4 linked regions of the Neodiprion lecontei genome follow. The main gene of each other region encodes a partner of the protein of the gene in region 2 in a complex. Links are inferred from orthologs where the notes say so. Each region holds a gene or a part of one and is shown on either strand. Other genes may lie near its edges.

Region 1 (4,678 bases), on a different chromosome or scaffold from region 2:
AAAAGTTCAAGGCAAGTTCTTGTAGCAAAATTGTAGTGACCGCAAGAGAGTCCTATGCACCCTTACCATAGTTCTTAGACCAATACAGACGTATACAGTTACGATCATACGTGCAAGATTCTCATATTATTAGTTCTTACACGCCACATTGCCTGTTATTTTATCAACCAAGCTCACATCTATAAAGTATTAAGCAGCGTATATACAATTTTCACACGTCACCGTTATATCTTCCGAAAATCATGTACAGTTCACAATCAGAGAAGCCCTTATTCTCAGAACTAAGGATAGCACCTTTGTTTTAATGACGATGTAATCAATTAATGCTTCACCGTTTGCTTCTCTGAACCAATCGTTCCGTGCTAATACTCCGCCAAGACACTACTTACTAACCAGATGTCTTGCTCTCAAGTAATCAATTAGCATCAACCAATCATTTTAGACCCACGAAAAAACGCGCCTTTTTTCGAACTCTTCCTACGTTGATGCATGTCAGCATGACGTTCTAAATTCCAATTTTCCCGGAATTTTGCACGGAAAATGCGGGAGAAATGTGGCAAAAAAAATAAATGGATGTATGATATGGGAAAAGTCGTGTACTGTATAATATATAACAAGCATTGGTACAACGCCCATACATTGATTATTGGTAAAATCCTGAGCAAGTTACATGAATGTACAAATAAATTCAATCCAGGTATCACAAATAGACACATAAATATATGTACATACATACGGAGATGAATTATTCTTCAACAAGTCAAGAAACTCACTCTGTACTGCATCAAACATATCACTCCGTTAAAATCGAGAATCTGGTTGCAGTCTGGAATTCGATGATCATGTCGCAGTGATATTAAATAGGCTGTGTCAAAGCCCAATTGAAAATTGCAGCAAATTGCAATTGGCAGACCATTCGCATAGTTGATTTGGGCCCATACAAGTATTTTTACACATTTCCTTCTCCTTCTTTAACCAAGGTATTTCTTTTCACCGCACGATGTTATTCTGCCAGTAAAATATAGGTTGTTACTAAGACCAAGCGTTTCTAATTCCGTTTAAAATATTTATTCAAATATGATACTATGTTGATTCATTATCACTTAGTTAGATGACGTAGTAATTATGCAACATCAGTACACATTTCTAATCTTCACCCAAAACGATTGTTAAATGTATTCATTAAAGTACCATGGTATTCAATTATAAATGTACAAAAGATATTCATTCGAATAAATTCAACAGGCAACCTTGTTTGTTTTGGTTTAACATTCTAAAACGCAACTCAATAATTAATCAATTATGATGCAACACTTATTTACAATATATTTGACAACCGACTATTCAAAATAAAAATGAGATGCAAAACACTAATTACATGCTACCTGGTATTAAATTTAATAAAACAGACCAATTTGATCAATTATTGAAACTCAGTGACCTCCATATTTAGATTCAATAGCGCAACCACTTAAACATGACAAAGTCCACCCAATTGCATAGTAATAAAACAAACCAAACAAAAAATAGTAACAATGGTGAGGATGCAATATTTACAGTAACGCCACCCATTCCTGTTAGAAACCATCGCTCGATCAGTTCATAAACAACAAATCATAGCTCTATTTTATACGCAATAAACTAAAACTAACGAGTCTGATTCAAGCCTGATTGGATATTATGCTATGATGAAAACTTGTTTCAGAAAATACTTCAGAATGTGTTTGGATGGCCAATTATTCATATATTGCAACAAGACTTGGATTAGACTCTGCAATAACAAAAACCAAAAAATCATGAATTCACACACCTCTACCAATGATATTTTTGTTTTTACTTGATAATATCAATCAACCGGTTTCCTACTGATTGACAGTACCTGCGTATTTCACTTCGTCAAAGGCTTTCCTTGCTTTTTTAAGCTCCTCATTCATTGTCAGCAGATCCTTAACTCTGGCGTATTTTCTAGAATCTTTCCTTACTGGAAAACAATGTGAAACAAGTTTAAGATAATATTGCACAACAAATTAAAATTCCCGCTCACTCACCAAGGAAGACAATGTCTTCGACTTGCACTCTGCCTGTGCGTCCAATTTCCATTGCCCTGTGGGTCATTTCGGTGATGAATTCGATCACCAAATCTTCCAGAAAGTCAACGCTTTCGGTGTATGGATTTTGGTCATCGCCAAATCCGTACATCATGCAACGGAGCTCCTTTGAAAATAACCGTTTTCTTCCACCCGGAAGCGTTCCTCCGATCGGAATCTCCGTCTCCTCATCTTCGAACTGATCAAATAAAGAATGCCAATCAAGGCTTAAGGTCTCCAGGAGTTAGGTTACTTTACGTTAGGCTAGATTATTTTGCTTAGCTCGTACTCAACCCTCAATTATGAACAAACCATTTCATTATGACCAATTTACCTGCTCGTAATTTTCCTCCGCAGCCATTGACGTATTTCGTTTGACTCACAAGAATCTGGCAATTAAATAACGACTTTTGAACAAGATTAATTGACAGAAAACTCTCGTTGAAAACTCCAACACTTGTCAAACAGAGATCTACTAGTTTCTGTGTCAAAACCCATCTCACGAAGCTTACGTTAGTCAGTGATGCCAAATGTCGAAAACGAAACATTCCTAATAGTGAGACGAAAAAACGCCGACGGCATAGCAGGATTCGTTGCTGAGGGTTGAACTCAGTGGATAATACAGAGCATATTTACCATAACAAAATGCCACTGCAGTGGTCGAAAATAAACGCATCATAAACATTAACAAATGTTATTGCAGTAATACTAAATATTTAAAAAACTTCATATGCTTTAAATTAACGGCAAACAATGGTTAATATTATCTTAATTACTTTGAAATTTATTGCCGTTTTTTTTGTGTCTTACAAAAGTTAATTTGTTATTAAAATAAATACCTAGAATTCCTTAACTTCAGTGATCTGTATGAAGTAACAGTTTCCCAATTTATAATAAGTGAAATCCTTTGAATGATTTTTTTTTTTACCAAATGTTATAGAATCACATTTAACAATGTTGCATGTCGTTTCGTTCAACTCAAACCACTTAAAAATGTTATCGAGAACAACTTGCATCAACGCTATGTCCCTAAGGTAATTGATGGCTTTGTAAGATCGAAAAAGGGCAAATTTAATCACCTTACATGTATCATTCACATCAATCAAGATAAAAGGTGGACCTAGGTCTGCACCCACCCAATTTCGGGAATACTTACGCCAAGATTCTTCGCTATCACTATACAAATGCCATGCCTTCACTTAGAACCCGAAAATTATCAGGGTGACGCGCAAAAGGCGCTGTCAAATTTGAAAACTTGATTACTTGTAAGATATTCGACTTAAGAGCCGAAGGCTGAGCACATCGACAGTGCTTTACTTTGTCATGTACCGTTTGCGAAATCGGCGCGCAAAAGCGCGGCCGATTGATCTGTCAAATAATCTTAAATATGTTGCAAAATTTTGTATAAATCTAATCCGAAATTGTGTTATTCTACGACTATGACAAATGCGCTGTGCATTACTCACTGCTTTCGAGTTGCTAAATAGTACACAGCAAATACGACATGCATTTACCGTTCAGGTACCTCAAAAATTCTTTACAAAATCTGTTCCGTGTCAGAAGGCGCTACTAAATCGAGGATACGAAAAATACAAAAGCGGATCCCTTTCTGCTGACGGTAAGGGATGCGTCGATAAGGCAAAATGTTATCTGTCTAATGAAAGAGCTGTATGTATGAATGAAATAGAGGAAACGTTCTGTTTCTATGAATAATAATAATAACAACAACAACAACAACAACAACAACAACAATAATAATAATACGTGATACAGGCAATCACTGGAGAAAATTGACAGCACTTCAGTTAAAAGAGCGTTCGTTGATTTTTTTAATACGATGTTATTCCATGTATTTTAAATATTCTTCATACACCCTTTACTTATTACGTAATATACATGAAATTCTAAGATTCCCTCCTTGTTTCCGTACAGTAGCATTTCTAGAATCTGTAATCGAATTCGATCAGCTTGGGAAAATCTTTTTTGTTTAATAATATGATTGCGGTTGTAGCGTGTGTTTATGTTTATTCGATTTGACCAACGTCGTTAATTGTAACATTACCGAATTAGTCGGTAATTCGGTTAAAAATAAATCGTGATATTTTAATCAACACGTAAACAAGTTGTAAGACCCACCAACCTTGGTTCGGGTCTTTTTTTTATAAGGTGTATGCTTAGTCTTGCTTGCATAGTGGTAAAACTAATTTCGCGAATACGTTGGATACGCAAATCTATAACGAATCGATGTGCATAAATGCTATCCAGTATTATCTTGTCTGCGAAAAAGAATCGTCAACTCAACCAATTCCACGAATCGAAGACACTGTACTCATAACAGCGATCGAACGAACTATGTGTTCGTATGTGTTCGTATGTAATTGAGCCCTCCTCGATAGCGAATATAAATAATGTTTATCAATCGGCAGAGAAAGAAGGCATTCGTGGTGATATCTGCGCTTAGGTCATTGCCGTAATAGAATTACATCTAGAATAATAGTTACAAAGAAGAGTAACACGTACTGGATTTCGCGATCACAGGAACACAACTAAATATCATTTTGCACCAATAACTAGACTTTTTGGATACGGCG
Region 2 (5,177 bases):
TTTCTGCAACAGGTAATTGTTAGCAATAGTTTAAATATGTGTAAAAATTGATTGCCGGCAAATAACAACAGTTCATTTTCTATTCAAACTACAAACTTTCTCTCAATACGACTCCATAGCATAAAAAACAACATTACCTTGTCAATTTTATCAACTTTCGGGCTCTTTGGTGTGAGCAAAGAGGAATTGGTCACAAAATTATTATTTATTACTGGTAAAACTAAATTCGAAGGTTGCAAGGTTGGGGTGATGGGTTGCGCCACAAACTCCTTGTCATGTTTAGAGATTTTTGGGATCTTCTCGGGTTTCTCTTTTTCCACTTTTTCGGGCTTTGCTGGTGGGATAGGTAAGCTGGGCACCGCTGGTATAGGAAGCGGTTTCTCCCGTTCAGAAGGCTTAGATTTTGGAGGTGGAAAGTCGTCTACTTTAGTGTTCAGTCCAACGAATCTTGGGGGCAATGGTAAATTAGGCATTGCAGGATGCGGCACCCCTCTGCTCAGTGGAAGAGGAAACCTTGGAAACAATGGGTGACCAATGGGAGGCGGAATGAGACCAGGAGCTGGTGGAAAAGTTGGAAAGAATGGAAACGGCATTGTCGGAGGCAGTCCTAATTCTCTAAGTGGCGGTTCTGGTGCCTGCGGAGTCTTTGGCCTCTCCGGTGTATCCGGCTCCACCAAATCGTTTGACATTTTGATCTAAAGAAACATGAAACCAAAGCGTCATTATGGGTTGATGAGATACCGGTGGTAATTTGTAAAAACTACTTGACATCATTGACAATTTTTTACCTTTTTGGGACTAATGCATTGCTTGGGACTTTTTAATTTGGTTTCCTTCTTTTTTCCTTTCTCTTTCCGTTTCTTTTTCTGATCTATAACCACAGGTACGTTAAGTTCTGGAGTTTTAGGCGTACTAGGAGTGCCTGGTGGCGACATATCATCGAACATGTAGATGTCAGAGGATGGGCTTTGAAGACCAGTTGGATCCCCGGAATCAGGTTGTACATGTACATCGGGTGTATGGGGTGTCTTCTTCTCCTCAGTTTTCGCCTCTGAGTCAATTTTTCTGTTCAGCTTCTCGATATTCTCGTCGATTATCAAACCTGGCGAACTTTCACGCGAGTCCAAATCCTTGTGTTTATTCTCTGGAGTATCCTTTTCTTTATCGTCCCGGGGCTTTGAGATTTTCTTGAAAATGTTGAGCTTCTGTTTGTCGGGCTCGGACGGTAACTTGTCTACCTTCTCTTCTTTCCTTTCTTGCACCAAACTACTGTTCGTTGGTTCAGATTTTTCTAGCTTCATTTTTGGCTGCACTACTTTAGGAGGCTTCGGACTCCCGGCAGGTTTTGGAGGTGAAAGTTTAGGTGTTGAAGGCCTTGCTGAAGGACCAGCTATCCCTGTTTGGCTCTTGCCACCACCTGGCTTTAGGGCTTTCAATTTGGCAAGTTCCTTCATGCCAGCTAATTTTTTAACTTTACTATCATCAATTTTATCTGGTTTAAAGAGCTCCTTCGCTCTGTCCTTCTTCTTATTTTCTTTATCAAGTTTCCTATCTTCTCCATTCTTTTTATTCACAATTTTCTTTGGCTTTTTGTCGGAATTCAATTCAGGGGGAACCATTGGATACGAGCTTGGCGACGGAGAGTCTGATCGAGCTTGTTGAGGTGTTCGAGCTTCGGGAAGTTTCCCCTCCCTGGCAGGGGACAAAAACCCTGAAGTAGTCATCATCACACTATGAATCTCACGCAGTGGTCTACCTTCCTCGACTACTCTTGGTCGCTTAGCTATTGGACTTTCAAGAGACACTGGATCTCCAGGGCGTTTGAAAACCACTTGTGGCGACGTACTTTGTGGCGATATGTTCGCCGATCCGTCAGGTGGAGAGCCGTTTAAAGGCGTTACTTCTGGAGTTGTTTCAGATGGGTTTTCAGATTTAGTTGGAGGATATTCATCTACAATATGAAATATTGATTCCCAGTTTTAATTGGAACAAAATCATCAAGAGTTTTCGTGTTAGGGAATATTAATTTTTTTAAACTTATCCAATGATCAGTTTTTGTGCATTTCGTAACTCGCATATTTCTCATCAACTCATACCTTCTGTGTCAGGGTACATAGCTGGCAAGTGTTCGTGAACATGAACAGGCCTAGTAACGACCTCTCTGCTTCCTGGCTTCAAAAAATTCATATGACTTTCGCGAGGTACAGGAAATTTAGGTACCTCGATGGCACATGGGACTGAATCAACATTTTTAACGTATTCTGCTAGTTCTTGAATGTCTATATTCATGTGCTGAAAGGCTAATCCAAGATCATCGAGGTTCGGTTCCGTTTTTCCCACTGAAATTAATCATATATGCTTCAATTCACTTGCAGTACAATTAAATGTTTGGTTTTATTTATGAAACCTTATGTTTCTGAATTTAGGATTCTTATAGTTCAAAAGTGGCTACTCACAGACTTCGGCATATTGGTGAGTCAATTTAGATGTCCTCGTTAGGTACTCTTGCATGAGATCGACCAAGAATTCCAGCGGCGTAGAATTTATTGAGTGCCATCCGATCGTTTGGCATATTTGAGCCACCACTACTCTTAATACGTTTCTACTGTATTCTGCTGCCATTTTGACAATATTCAAAAATTTTACTCATAGGACAACACTGATGACCTGAAAAACAATAATCAACCCTCTTTTATTTCTACAAAGATAAATCTAGGTGACTCACTCAGACTAGATCGTTGTGAGTGAGGATAAAATTTTACGGAGGTATTCCACCTTCAGTTTGGTATATTCTCAATCAGATAAACTAGCACGATAATACAGAACTAACCTAGCAAAAAAGTCAGTACATTTTTTTTAGGAAATTTCTCGATAATTCAAAGGAACTGTGTAAATGAAATGTATGGAAATTAACTTGTTCACAACATTGCAGCAGTGACCCGATGTACAGAAATATACTCCTGCGAAATGCTGAGGAGTAATCGAATACTAATATCTTTTTTCAAAATAATTATTTCACAGGTGAAAGACTTCCGTATCTTTGCATAGTAGACAAGTTGGAAAGTTCACCTACCCCAGAAAGTGAACGCGAGAAATTACTTCTTACCTGATAAAACTTTATCCGCCGTTGAGAGACTTGGATTTTTACGTTGACATCACAGAAATTCGCCTAGACTTAGTTCTCGGCATTGTTTTGCACAATTATTCACAAACGTAATACATGAACCTGCCAAAAATACGACAAAAAGAACAGCGTAACGCACTCCGGAACACTCGCCTCGCCACCATTTCTAGTCTTGGCAAGCAGTCAACCATAGACTTCTACTATTCCTGGTAGCTATTGCCAAGCCATAGACTATCTATTATATATGAAATCATTCCCAGTCGTTCCTCTTTCCGCGAAACTTACAGGACTAACGACAAACCAGAGAGGACAAACAGCCACGGAACAGCGGAATACCAATACCGTACACACGAACTTAATCGTACGGAATACGGAATTCCAGCCAATGGAACCATTAGGATCTCTGGCAGAGGCGTGGCTTAGAAATTGCACCTAGCGGTGAAAATATGCACTAGTTTGAGTAAGTCACGTTGTGCATAAACAAATGTAGATAAGGGTAATTTTATAAGAATACATTTTGTTTTTGTAATTTCAAAATATAATATGAAACTTTCATTGCAAGATATTTTTTAAATTTGCACATAAATCAATAGTCAGCTGTGCGATTCGACCTACTCGCTCAGATGTTAAATATCGCCACCAGATGGCGTATCCGAGTGCTTTCCATCCACTCCACACGGGAAAAAAATTATTCAAAAGTGATAAAATTTCGCTACATTTTCAGGCAAAAATACCACATTTCTTGAGAAAAAAATTTCCTCTTGTTTCATCGGCGGACATCAAAATTCTTGAACCGAAAGAAATTTTTTTACGGTTGGCAACGCCGGACAGATCATACCCCATACTCGTGTCTCTACTCCATACCACTGATATCTGACAAATCCGTGAAGCGAAAAAAAAGAAAACCGAGTGAGTCATGATGATCTCACGGAGTTACACACATACAAAACTGCTCCCCTAGCGAAACTATCGCGAAACTATCGGCTCTCTTTCTCTCTCAGGGACCTAGCACAACAAAATAACTTCCGTCGATTGTATTCGGCGACGCAGCGAACTGTCAGTGCCGTTGGGAGGCATTTCTCCGTTTTGATAACGGCATCTTCTACCCCATTCACGATTAATATATTTAGAATATGTGTGTATTCATTATGATAGACCGACACTATTTTTTTTACACATACCTCGAGCTATTTTAAGGCTATTGGAGCCGATCAAGGGTCTTCCGAACTTTTTTACAAGAGTACCCTTTACTCGTTTACCATTTGCCAAAAAATCCAACGACTTGTTGAATAGACGTCCAAGATCGTTCACTATCTGGTTGATCAAGAAAACAAACAACGATTATGGCAACATCAAGTGTTGAAGACTTTTTATCCGGCCCTCTCGTCACTTGGGTAATTATTGTTTTTCTAACTTCAACACAAAGTATGGCTTCAGCCTCAGATTAGATAAACTCTATTACAATAGTCTCATTCCAAATATTTGGTAAGTTTTTCTTCACATGTTATTACTCATTATAGTTCACAAGCTGCCTTAAGGAACCTGACGCCCTTGTCAACTATGAAGATTTGGTTGACGGAGTTGCACTGCACGATGTCTTCCTACAAATGTAAACACAAACATAGAATTTCTTCTATTTTGTTTTGTCATGTGTTAGATTCTCGACTTTTAAAAATGATTTTCATCGAATGTTCTCTTTCAATCCTTTATAGAAACCCAGAGCCTATGCATGACAGGGTCGTACCGAGTGTTAGAAATCCAGCGATGAGAACAAAGAATTTAAACGCTATCATTGGAAACATTAAGCAATTTTACGAAGAGGAATTGGGTCACCTTGTTTTAGTGTTACCTGACACTGTCAAGTTGGGAAAAGAGCCCGAAACTGCTATTGGAGAAATCAAGTTACTTCTGTTACTTCTACTGGGATGCGCAGTTCAATGCCCCAACAAAGAAAAATTCATCACTAAAATCAAAGACATGGCTGTAGATGTTCAACTCGCCATTGTCGACTGCATAAAACAGGTTCACCACTAACTTTTTTCTGAAAACCAAA
Region 3 (6,951 bases), on a different chromosome or scaffold from region 2:
TAATAATAATAAAGATAACAGTAATATGCGTAGCCTTAATAATAATGAAATTAAATTGAATACAAAAATAAATTTAGAAACCCAGCACATACCCGATGAGCAACTTCGCTCGAATGACCCTTTGGAGGATTTCAAAAAACCTTTGTGGGCATCTGATGAAGGTAAAATATTGAAAGGATTTTCTGAATTTCAACAAAAAAAAGAAATACGATCGACGGGATATGCTAACCCAGAAAAGAGTAATTATGAGTATCGAGGCAAAGAAGAAGAAGAACAAGAAGAAGAGAAAGGAAGAAATCAAGAACGGAAAAACGGGAAAGTCGTAAGTGAAGAACATGCTGGCTCGCAAATAAAAATTAATGCCGATACCAGAGAAGGTAAAAAACATATCGACGACGAATTATAATGATGGTATTTTGATTATAGGTTTGATAATAAATGTATTGAAATAAAGAAAAGTCCAATTACACTAGTTGATACTTGGTAGTAAAATATAAACCGTGAAAAAAAAAATAATTGACAAATTAAGATTAGCTCAAGACTCAAGTGATGCGAGCTTTAACATTTTTATACCTAAAATTTCTATGCATATAGAAATAAGAATTAAGTTAATCTAACAATGTATGTCATGAGATGGGAAATATGACAATGATTACTTATTACTTGAAATCACTCATGAAGCGTAGCGCGAAACTATATCTTTTTTTTAAATCATCAACTAATGGTGCTTTTTTCGAAAATGGACTCTATGTTAAAAACTTGCAATAATAATGAAATCACGAATAATGCCGTGTATAATTTGGAGACAATGCATGAGGTTTTGTTAACTACATAATGTATATATATTTTCGATAGTTCAATACACATTGATGTGGTTGTGAATATAACGTACGTAGACTGTCAAAGGTATAAAACTGCAGGAAACAGTGAATTTAACCTAAAGATATGCATACTTTGCTTTACTAAGTTCAACAGTTGATGAAAATATGAAACTTTCGGCAGCGAAAAAAAATCTGGTGAATATCATTCACTTATTACTATCCATAATTTGAAGCTTTTAATTTTATCCTAAGTTTCCTATTGCATTGGAAGGTGTTTATTATTCACAATTTGGATAGTATTTTATAATTACGCTTTGTATCGTATAATTATTTAGCTTAAGAAAAACCGGAAAAAAACGAACCATTAAAGGTAAAAGATGAGAAAGAAACTTGAAATTTCATTTTTTATTTGCAAAAATCACATATCTGTAATGCAACTTTAATGATACCAATTATCGGAGAACTATAATTTCTACTTGAATGTTTGATTTTTTTTATTTCAATTTTAACAAACTAATCAGATTTCGTGTACAGAAAACTGAGATATAATTTAAATAGATAATATATGGCGGATTAGTGTACAGATATTGAAATATGTGTGTTAACCAGTTGTAAAGAAATGAAGTATAATAATAGAACTGTGTAAAATATTTCTTAATTCGTGATATAGACGATGCAAGATGTATAATATCTGTTGTATGTATTTGTAAAGTAAATTTTCTAATTACCGGAGGAATACTAACATAATGCTTTATGTTAGCTATTTTACAATGATAATGTATAATATTTGTAATCGAGCGAGTAGATCTATCAACTACTCTTTAATATTATATCGTGGTATAAAAATATATTCCATCATTTCAATGAGCAATGGTTTTTGAAATGTAGTGAACATCTGCAAGCGTACGATGAACAGTTAAGAATATTAAGTTGTAATTTTTAGTTGTTATATACTTACGTGCTTACTGCTGTCAGAGAATGCATATAACTTATAAGTGTAAATAAGATCCTAATATGAATATCAGCTTTTTACTTATAAATATATTGTAATTCTGAATGACTCTTTCTTAAATACTGTTAAATGAAAATAAGATAATTATAATACCATATAACTAGTAATTATCTGCCAAAAATAACATAAGGATATTTAAGATTTTAAGAGAAGTAAAGTTACTACAAATTTTTATAGTATGATTAACTCTTTGTACATATTAGAATAACAAAATACAGAAGATTGTATCATAGTATACTATAAATCAATTTCAGTAAAGATATTTACGGAATGAGGTTTTTGGTAACGGGGGTGACGCATGACTATTATTGATAATTGGAAATAAAATCGTTATAAATCATGCTTTTTTGTGCACGTGTCGAGATATACTTTTGAAAAAATTTCATCTTTCGAAAAATACCCTAGTACGAATTCATTTAGTCATGGTTTTTTGGTATTTCTCATAGTTGAAATACAACAGGTATCAGGATTTTAGTGATATATCTTTTTATTCATTATATGTAACAATAAGAGAAAATATAATTCTTTCTACATTTGTGGGTCAAGAGAACAATGTTACAAGAATAGAATTCTCTTTGGGAAACATACATTGAAAGCTTTCAGATTAGACTATAACTCTCGGATGAAAAAATTTATACTGCCAGAGAAGAGAAGAGATTTCAAATGTATTTTACAAGTAACGTTAAAATTATATTGTATAGCTAGATCTAAAATCATAACAGAATTTCATTTATTGCCTCTGTTATGATTTAATAAATTAACTCTAATGACCTTTTACAGGTTTAAAATTAGACGCTAATGCATAAACATAATATTATTACAATAGATATTGATTGGCATTTCGCATTTTCTAACATTGGCTGTAGCTTTTGGAAGTCTTCTGGACGTTTTTCCAGCTATTAGCCTTTTTTGTTATAACAAAAGCGTTTGTACTACGTGCTGCACTTTAATAACATTTTTCTTGACCATTTGCAAAAAAGCTCATGCTTTCCTCAAAGTCTGAAAAATGCCTTTTGTGCTCTACCGTTTGGTATTTGTCCCTGAAGTCGTAATCTGCGTACCGCTTCCCTCAAATGTTTTGGTTGCAATGGGCCCGTTTCTTCGTGAGTTTCCATGACATCCAAAGCTTTAAACAGTTGCATATTTGTTACATTATTTCAGCTTCTGCTCTCTATATTCTTTACAGTGAAAGAGTTACTATGGATTTTACAATATCTTTTTCTCCAATAAAAATATTCGTCAATTTTTTGAGCCATCGAAATTTGCATACATCGGAGTTTGTAATTATCTTGTGCAAGAGATATAGTTTTTCATATCGTACCTTCCTCAACAATTTCGCCGACAAACACCTTGGCTATACCTGACATGGCTATCACGACATTTTGAGATACCGAGCAGCCCGTAATTGTCTGCATAATCTGAAAAGAATCGAAAACAACAAAATGGAAGAGCCGTCTGTTCATTTTCTTTGGCAATAAGATATTAGGTATTGACCTTGTGATTGTTGGTCGGAGTAAATTTATGCAATCAATATTGAGTAGATATTTGAAAAAAAAACGCGAGTAAAATATTAGTTCGTGAAGGTTATCTTTCAAGAAGCTTACATGCATTTTTATTTAACAAGGAGTTTCTTCAAGGAATTTACACTTCGAATAATTTTGAGAATGCAGAACTAACTAAAAGCTTTGATAAAATCTGATTACTCTTTTGATTGCTGCTTTGGGAAATGCAGCTCTTCTGTACATCTCGTATCTGTCCAATTGATCTTCCGTGAAATTTGATACCAAAACTCTAGAATAAAAATGGTGAAAGTAATTTTGTACGTATTGTCAAATGCGTCGCTTCACAAATAGAAGCCAAAAAGGTGAATATTTAACATACTGCATTTTCTCCCGCTCTTCTTCCTCCAGTTCCTTTTTACTCTTTTCTCTACTTTCTCTTCTTCCATCTATTTTTGTCGGTACCGAATGTGGGAGCATTATATCATTTCCAAAAATGTCTTCATGCTCATCTTGACTCTCTGGATCATTCTTCAAGTCCATATGGTCACTTGATAGCATTCCGCTACTAGTTTGTTGGGGACTTGACTCTTCTGTGTCTGATTGAGAATTCTGACTTGAAGTGTCAGGTTCATTCTTTAAAATTAAAACACCAAATTATTCAAAACAATTTGACGAGAACCGCATGAGAAATCAGTCTCAATTTAAGTATGACAAAAAGATTGGAGATCATCAGTTTTGCTTATATTTTTGTGCAAATTCGAGTTCTCGATTTTCATAATTGCAATATAAGTATAAAAATGTTCTAAATTCTCCTCCGTATTAGCGATATCGACTGCAAAAGTACGAAGCTGAAAATTTCAATATATTTACTCCTTTCACCTTCAAAGGAACGTCGTCAATATCCATGCCATCGCTGTCTCTGGTTCCGGAGGGTCTAGACGGACTGTCCTTATCTTCAATATCGACAAGCTCGCTTTCGTTCCCAGAATCATCTTTACCAAAAATATTATCCATTCTCTGAAGCAATAAAGTTCATAAAAATAAAAGGCCAAAATGTTCTATCAAATACAAAATTGCATAAATTTTAAAAATCGGTGAAATTTTGTACACATGCATATAGGTTAGAAACAGCCGAACACCATAATCGGTGTAATTATGAAATAAAATCTGTCCAAAGGAGGGCTGAAGAAGTAACGAAACTCACGATGTTTTTAACAGCAACAGTCCGGTCAGCTGACGCGTCCTAAACCCTGAAGATAATTTGATTTGAACCGCTTTTGTAGCGCGATATTGACTGATTTGACAGAAGGAGAGTGTTTACTGCACGAATGACGTCACGACCTGCGTGACCTGCCTTTGCGACGATTTATCTTTTTCAAAATTACTACACCGAGGTTATCAAAAGTAGCGGCAAATATCGACAACCGACGACGGAGAATCCCCATCAATAAATCGTCGTCACGATCGTAATCGTTGGGACCGTAAATTGGCGACAATGATGAAACGTAAATACGCTGGGTAAGGTTCGCCTCGTTAGTTCCGAAGTTGCCCGCGCGGCAGCAGCACAAACCATCGAAACAATCGCGAGAGAAATGTTGCGGCGGTGTCGCGACGCCGCATTTGTCAATACTCGATTGTTTTAACAATTTTCTCGTACTTTCGGTCGCGTTTCGCGTAAAAATTTCTACGCCGTGGTTACCCAATCAGGGTTATTAACAGCCGAGTGATTTAACGGCGAAAGGGGTCGAGTACATCGCCGTGTAAACGGGGTAAATATACCCACCTACCGCTTGTGCACACATCGGCAAAGTTGAATTTTAGACGGCTCTCGGACATTTGCCAAGTGTTGCGGCTTTGAGAAGGAGGAGGAAGGAGGAGGAAAAGGTGCAGGTGGATATACACAATACAAACACAGTACAGTGTCTCAGTTACCTCTCCCTCTTGCATATTTATTTGGATTTCGTATTAACGAGGGAATCGAACGGAAATCTTCGTTCTTCGCCAACCAAGCATTCAACCCTCGTTAATGTCGGCCAACTCTTCGTGTTGATGTGTTAAAATGTGAGTATCTCTTTCCTCCTCATCGATACGTAATATAATATTTATGGACTCACGTTTACACTAGTTGGAAAAAAAAACATCTTCTGTATAATAACCAACGCGCTTTAAAAATGGCACAGTTCCATATTGGAACCGTCAAACTGGTCATGTTATATTGCTGAAAAGTCGGAGAGAGCCTGCAGCGGGTTTTGTTCTTTGATGTTTGTGCGTAAAAAACCGGTTTACCAATCTTTTCTTTTTATTCTTATTCTCATTCCTTTTCTGCTATCGAAAATGTAACAGATCGCGTACCGAGAGTTCGACAACGCATTTTGATTAGCAGCAGCTTGGTTGTTTCGCGTTTTATTACTCAGCACGGTTAATTGTTTGCCATTTACCGCGTTGCGATTCATCTCGTTATTCTCAATCGCGACTCCGCAATCTCTGCAATAATAGCGTTACGTATACGTCATTTTTTATACAGACAGACGCGCGTACAAAACTTGATTGTCGTTTTTTCGCACATGGCCAGATAGATACCATTGTCGCAAAAAATAATGAGGCAATTTATAGGCGTGTTTTTAGGTAAACACGTATGCACACTGTCATTTTTCGCCTGTTACTGTATACAATGCACACATGTAATACCCACCTATACCATTTTCGAAACTCGGGTCTTTATTCTGATCGTAGACGCTCAGGTACACGAAGACTAGAATTTAAAGTACCTATGCATACGTAGGTAAGTCAAACTAGACGCCTGCACGAATGAGGAGTCGAATGTAAATGCGGGTTTGACGTACGTACGTAGATACGTACATAAGTCTGTATCCTGTGTATGTAATTACATTCACAATTTTTTCAAACGACGTCGAAAATTCTGTCTTGGCCTGTCAATTTTCAGTATACAATATCCCTGTTTTTGATATCTTGGAAATAAAAGAGAGAAGGTGAAGTTATTATTGTATACGAGATCGAGTTTTCGACCTTTTTCCTTTCCGCCTATGCGGTCGAAATATCAGACACGTAAGTTTTATCTTACCACATCCGATACACTTTCCTTAATTCTTTCCCTAACATCTGCTAAACGAATATCGATGCCTCCCGTTTCAAAGCTTCTCCAACTTTCCGAGAGTGAATAGAGACTCAAGTTTGTTAAATTTTCCGATTGAAGAATCTTCCCGCTCGGAGAAAATATACGCTCGGTTTACACTAATTCGTTTTGTTAATCTAATCATCACACAGTCGATGTACCGAAATTCCCAATTGAAAAAAAATTTCGATTTTCAGCGACGCGTTTCAGCGCCGATAATAAAAAGCTAGCTGCATCGAAATTACAAACGAAACCTCGGTTTATCAGTTTCATAACAACTCCACGCATCGTCATCATAGTCATCATCATTACTATCATCATCGGTGTGTCGTTACTGCTACAATACGGTTCATATAATTTACGACCAAAAACTCTTCGACTCCTCTTCCATTTAAGGTAATTTTAGTTGTGTACGTGCGTTTAGACCAGTGCATTAGAGTCGTAGGCGCCGCAGTATATATGTATACGGGTCAATGCCCTTGA
Region 4 (4,829 bases), on a different chromosome or scaffold from region 2:
AGGAAAAAAAATTAAGGTATTTACCGAGTATTCTGCACACTATTGTCAAATTTTAATTAAAAACTATGTGAGGGTAAGATTTTATGGTATTTCTGACAAAGGAAGCTATATTTGCTTCTTTATTTTATATACAATGTATAAAGTATGCACGCATTTATTTTTATGATTATACCTATTATTATTCTTGTAAGTCAGACCTTTGTTCCTGCTTCGAAGACTGATGAGCACTTACGACAGCAAAAATCCTCAGCTCATCGCAGATAGTATTATTAAAATTTTAGTTCCAAAACGGTTTCATTAAATCGGAATTATTCAGTCTAATAAAAACATCAGTAAAAAGATTGATTTTATGAACATAGCAAATGTATTTTGACATTTTTAAAATAGAATTTGTATAATTTTTTTTTTATTCACTTCACCTGAATAACTCATTATAAGAATAATTGATTTAATCCAGTATGTCTCTGTACTGTGCAGTACGAATCTCAAATTGGCAAACTAACCCCTTGTACGATATTTTCGTATTTTTATAAAATCCAGTTATACATGTAACAGCGAAATGCCTACCATAATTAATTATATGCCATTGCACCATTTTTTTCCAGATTATATTTTGTGCACAATATATTTAATAATCAGCTTAGCTGTATTGAATGTTCACTTTCTCGTTGTTCCGAGCTAAGAAATGTGAGAAAATTGTGCTGCTTGGAATCCTGTTTTTTTTGTTTTATTTTATACTTGTATTTGAACATAAACGTTTGAATTCTTTTAGTCTTCATGATTTTTCTCCAAAATTATTGTCACTCCTAACTTATCATTCAATCATTTACAACTATGTGTACACTGTAAAATAAGTGAAAAATTAAATGTTAAATACGGCGTTACAAATACAAAATGTTTTTATTCTTTCTTTTTCTCTTAAATACATTCTTCCATCCGATTCTTTTTAATAATTATATTCTATCCAACGCCTCTAGCATTATGACACTGTTTCCTCGAATGACCTGAAATAACAAAAATGATATTGTCGTCAATACTTCGTGCGGATATAAAAAATGATTTGCATCTTTCCTCAAGCAATTGCTTTAGATTTTTTAAATTCTTACCACCATTCCAATGTTATTCTTCGTTCCGTCTTTGCATTCTTCGACTGTTTCGTCAATGACCATGTTCATGAACGGATCAAATCCTCGCAGGATGCCAATCACGTGTCTCCCGCCATTCAGTTTTACTGCCAATTGAAAGTATCGTTAATAAAATACATCAAATACCATTCCTCTCAATTTTCTAGAAGAGGGTTTCGTGCGCAACATGATATTTGGCAATATCAAATATTTATAACCTTCCAAAGCTAGGTTCAATGAACGTTGAAAAAATAAATGAATATCCCAAACCAAGTCAATATTATTTGATACTAATTTAATCCTCTGAACTTACGGGATAACTTTTTGTCCATGTATCTGAAAAATATAATGAAAAATTAGTATATATGGGCAATAAATGTACCGGTAGGTGAAGTCTAACCTTAAATTTAGCAACGTAACCTAAAAATTCTTGGCAAAGAACTGCGGTTATTCGGCGTCGGTTTGACACGCAAGTTTATCACTTACTTTTTCAATTCTGGGGGATGTGCTTTGCTCATTTTTAATAGATGTGTTGAATTTTAATTGAAAAATCGGGGCAGTTTGATGCTCACACTGTCCAACGATGAGATTACGAACAACGTAAAGCGACGTGAGACGCTTTTACAAATTTGAACATCTAAGGTGTGTTACTGCGCAGCCATCTCCACGAACAAGTCGTATTAAGAACCAACCGTATGAAGGCCATCTTGGATTTTCAATTGATCCCATTCAATACCATCTATATAGCGTACAATTTAACAAGTAGGAATCTCCACTGTACTTATAAGATACGTCATATAATTTCAAGAAGGCTTCTATGGTCGGCGCAGAACGGGACGAAATAGCGTCCACCGGTGGAACACGCTTTATTTTCTTACACTATAGGATGCTTCCATCGTAAGGTCCACGAAGCATGTAATACCATTTGTGGTAAGGTCAGAGTCAGGTTAGGTTAAAATTACAGCCAAACGAGAAACGAGATTTGAGAGGAAGAAAGTAATTTCTCCTGAAACCTCGTTTCTCATTGGCTCATAATTTGAACCTAACCCGACTCCAACCCTTCGATGGAAACAAGACCAAACAGTAATAGCCAGTTGTATTAAAAATGGAGACCCAAACAGTAAACACGAGAAGAAAAGTGTTAAATCATGTAGTTTGCAGTATTTTGGTCGAAAATGGTTTCGAAACGTGTGAAAGACAGGCGCTGGAAACCCTCACCGAAATGTTGCAGGCTTGTAAGTGAATTTAAGACTTCTTGAACGCTGTTAAACGAGTTTACCCTATAAACTAAAAAAGAATGCTTACCCGTAATTATGAACATTGTAGTTATCGTCGAGGTCGGAGATTCGGCGAAAAATTACTGCGAGCTGTCTGGGCGGACCGAGCCTCTGATAGCCGATGTTATTCTGGCCCTAATTAACATGGGAATCAAATTAGAAGGGATGGAGACGTATGGTAAACGTCTAAACAGGACTGTTCTGCCCCAACTTCAACAACAGATACAGGCCAAACAGCTCAATATTTTACAAGCTGGAGTAAAGCAAAATCATCCGTCGCACATACCTAATCATCTGCCACCATTTCCTGATCCTCACGCCTACATCAGGACGCCGGTGAGTCATAACTTCCATCAACTACTCATCATTTTGGTAGCACATTAGTGTAACTATCGACAAATGGTGTTCAGACACATAAACAACCTGTGACGGAATATGAAGCTATCAGGGAAAAGGCTGCATCGCAAAAACGGGACATTGAACGAGCCTTGACAAGATTTATTGCCAAAACAGGGGACACGCATAGTCTGTTCTTGACCGAAGACAACACCATGTTTCCCTGTAAGTGGTAGAATTAATTGAGTTTGGAAATTTTCAAAAGTAATATCTTATATTCTAAAATTATTGTTTTATTTATTAATGGATTTTCTCAACTTCTCTCAAGTGATAGCATGCAAGCCACAATTTCCCAGCTATTTGTCAGCACTTCTACCACAGGATCAAGTTTTTGAGCCTGATCAAGAGTTCCAGTTTGAACCGAGTCCGGTTCAAAAAAAGAAGAAGGCACCGCCTGTAGAAGACAAAGAAGAAGGTTTGTTCATAATCTATAGAGACAATGAGTCAGAAAAATGGTGAATCTTGTACTGATGATGTTTCAATTTTCAGCCCAAGCACAAGCAGATGGGACAGAGCAAAGTGGAGAGGCATTAGCCCAACAAGATGTGATAGACAATCCTTATTTGAGGCCAGGCAAACTGCCAAAGAATAAAATAACTGGTACGAATCCGACTGGTCCTGGAAAGAGAGAAGCGACAGACGTATGACTAAAGATTTAGGTATTATTTTGATATTTGGTTTTTAAGCACGGAACTTACTAACTGACAATTACTTTATTATTACTGATGCACAGAGGAAGATATTGTATATTTATATATAGTAAATTAAGTTATCATAAAATTAATAAATATATTTTAAAAAAAATAACAATCCGACTTTAGTTACTCAAGTTGTTATTATTGTTATCATAAATTGTGTAAATTTGCTGTGAGTCATTTTTTAATATAAAGGTCTACTGATTTATGTTGAGTACAATATTAATATATCTGTAGATATCCATAAAATTGCACAGCTCACTAGCACCGATATACATACAATAAGAAGGCAGCGTTTAAGGATTGATAAACATCACAACTATTTAAAGGGACCCTAGGTATTGCACGAGACATTATAAAAATAGATTATACAATATCGCATAGACGTACATATAACGATTACCGATTACATATGCACCCTACATTGCGAAGCTATTCATAGCTTAATTGGAAGCCTAACTAATTGCTTTTATTATAGATAATAATGACATGAGACCTTCATTGATTCTGTGAAAAAATATTAATGCCATGACAGTGCGACGATTTGATAACTGCAATTTAGTATATCAAATATGCAAAAAATTTTTTAACAAGCCTTTGTGAAATATGAACTATGCGTTCTTTGTTCAATGGATGAAGATCGATTATAAAATATTTACTTTCACTTATATTCTATGTAACAAACATGATTGGATTCGTCTAGACTCCTATAAAATGATAGACCAGGCATTGATTCGTAAAGTTTACTGTAATACCCTGTTTCTAATTTCTAATTTCCATTTATTTTGCTCTTTCTTGAAAGGCATTTGATTGTAGAAAATCACGCAACTACACGCGATTGTCGGACAAAATTTATTTTAATTTGCAGACAAAATTAGGTGTAACGAACACAACGACCGATCCAAAATTCAACACATTCTAAGTTCAGTCAAGTTCTTTCACCACAAGTAAAAAATTATCTATAGTTTGATGATGCAGTGTGATAAACTATTGCAGCAAGCTGAATATCCATATGTGTCTAATATCAGATTAGTACTTGATAAAAATATTTCAGCAAATTGTTGGCTTTCTTTTTAATTTGTTTCATTCTCTAATTTAGCCATTGAGCACTATTGAAATCGCGAAAATATAAAAGTAATAATCAATATGTTTTACTACATTCGACATCCAATTGCACAGTTTCACTTTACGTGTATTTCTTTATAGGTATGTCGCATAAATACAGTATCTCTTTTCGTACACGACGATACTTTATTAAATGTATCGTTACTTACGAAATAAGTAACGCTTTTGAATAAATGATTTTTCAATCCTCGGATCGCGTTAAAGATTTCAGT

Evidence for each region.
Region 1: transcription initiation factor TFIID subunit 3 (region 2) and transcription initiation factor TFIID subunit 13 share a complex: the UniProt entries of both Homo sapiens proteins name them as parts of the TFIID basal transcription factor complex. The link is inferred for Neodiprion lecontei from reciprocal best matches to the Homo sapiens genes TAF3 and TAF13.
Region 3: transcription initiation factor TFIID subunit 3 (region 2) and transcription initiation factor TFIID subunit 11 share a complex: the UniProt entries of both Homo sapiens proteins name them as parts of the TFIID basal transcription factor complex. The link is inferred for Neodiprion lecontei from reciprocal best matches to the Homo sapiens genes TAF3 and TAF11.
Region 4: transcription initiation factor TFIID subunit 3 (region 2) and transcription initiation factor TFIID subunit 8 share a complex: the UniProt entries of both Homo sapiens proteins name them as parts of the TFIID basal transcription factor complex. The link is inferred for Neodiprion lecontei from reciprocal best matches to the Homo sapiens genes TAF3 and TAF8.

The regions. Positions count from the first base shown.
Region 1 is NC_060263.1:20,310,123-20,314,800, reverse strand, and holds transcription initiation factor TFIID subunit 13, read right to left. Parts: upstream 2,592-4,678; 5' UTR 2,449-2,591; coding exon 2,422-2,448; intron 2,287-2,421; coding exon 2,049-2,286; intron 1,982-2,048; coding exon 1,863-1,981; 3' UTR 1,009-1,862; coding exon of another isoform or gene 1,004-1,008; 3' UTR 625-1,003; downstream 1-624. UniProt on the Homo sapiens protein: The TFIID basal transcription factor complex plays a major role in the initiation of RNA polymerase II (Pol II)-dependent transcription.
Region 2 is NC_060264.1:28,407,119-28,412,295, reverse strand, and holds the start of transcription initiation factor TFIID subunit 3, read right to left. Parts: upstream 3,417-5,177; 5' UTR 3,107-3,416; intron 2,668-3,106; 5' UTR 2,623-2,667; coding exon 2,457-2,622; intron 2,340-2,456; coding exon 2,097-2,339; intron 1,952-2,096; coding exon 789-1,951; intron 696-788; coding exon 138-695; intron 4-137; coding exon 1-3. Other genes in the region: girdin, read left to right, coding at 4,468-4,518, 4,645-4,733, 4,837-5,146. UniProt on the Homo sapiens protein: The TFIID basal transcription factor complex plays a major role in the initiation of RNA polymerase II (Pol II)-dependent transcription.
Region 3 is NC_060261.1:39,665,367-39,672,317, forward strand, and holds transcription initiation factor TFIID subunit 11, read right to left. Parts: upstream 4,931-6,951; 5' UTR 4,536-4,930; intron 4,353-4,535; exon of another isoform or gene 4,351-4,352; 5' UTR 4,350-4,350; coding exon 4,206-4,349; intron 3,969-4,205; coding exon 3,715-3,968; intron 3,625-3,714; coding exon 3,537-3,624; intron 3,252-3,536; coding exon 3,155-3,251; intron 2,960-3,154; coding exon 2,826-2,959; 3' UTR 745-2,825; downstream 1-744. Other genes in the region: ER degradation-enhancing alpha-mannosidase-like protein 3, read left to right, coding at 1-406. UniProt on the Homo sapiens protein: The TFIID basal transcription factor complex plays a major role in the initiation of RNA polymerase II (Pol II)-dependent transcription.
Region 4 is NC_060262.1:2,041,555-2,046,383, forward strand, and holds transcription initiation factor TFIID subunit 8, read left to right. Parts: upstream 1-1,983; 5' UTR 1,984-2,229; coding exon 2,230-2,359; intron 2,360-2,450; coding exon 2,451-2,737; intron 2,738-2,811; coding exon 2,812-2,962; intron 2,963-3,065; coding exon 3,066-3,212; intron 3,213-3,286; coding exon 3,287-3,444; 3' UTR 3,445-3,995; downstream 3,996-4,829. Other genes in the region: probable small nuclear ribonucleoprotein G, read right to left, coding at 954-1,004, 1,107-1,231, 1,438-1,460, 1,611-1,642. UniProt on the Homo sapiens protein: The TFIID basal transcription factor complex plays a major role in the initiation of RNA polymerase II (Pol II)-dependent transcription.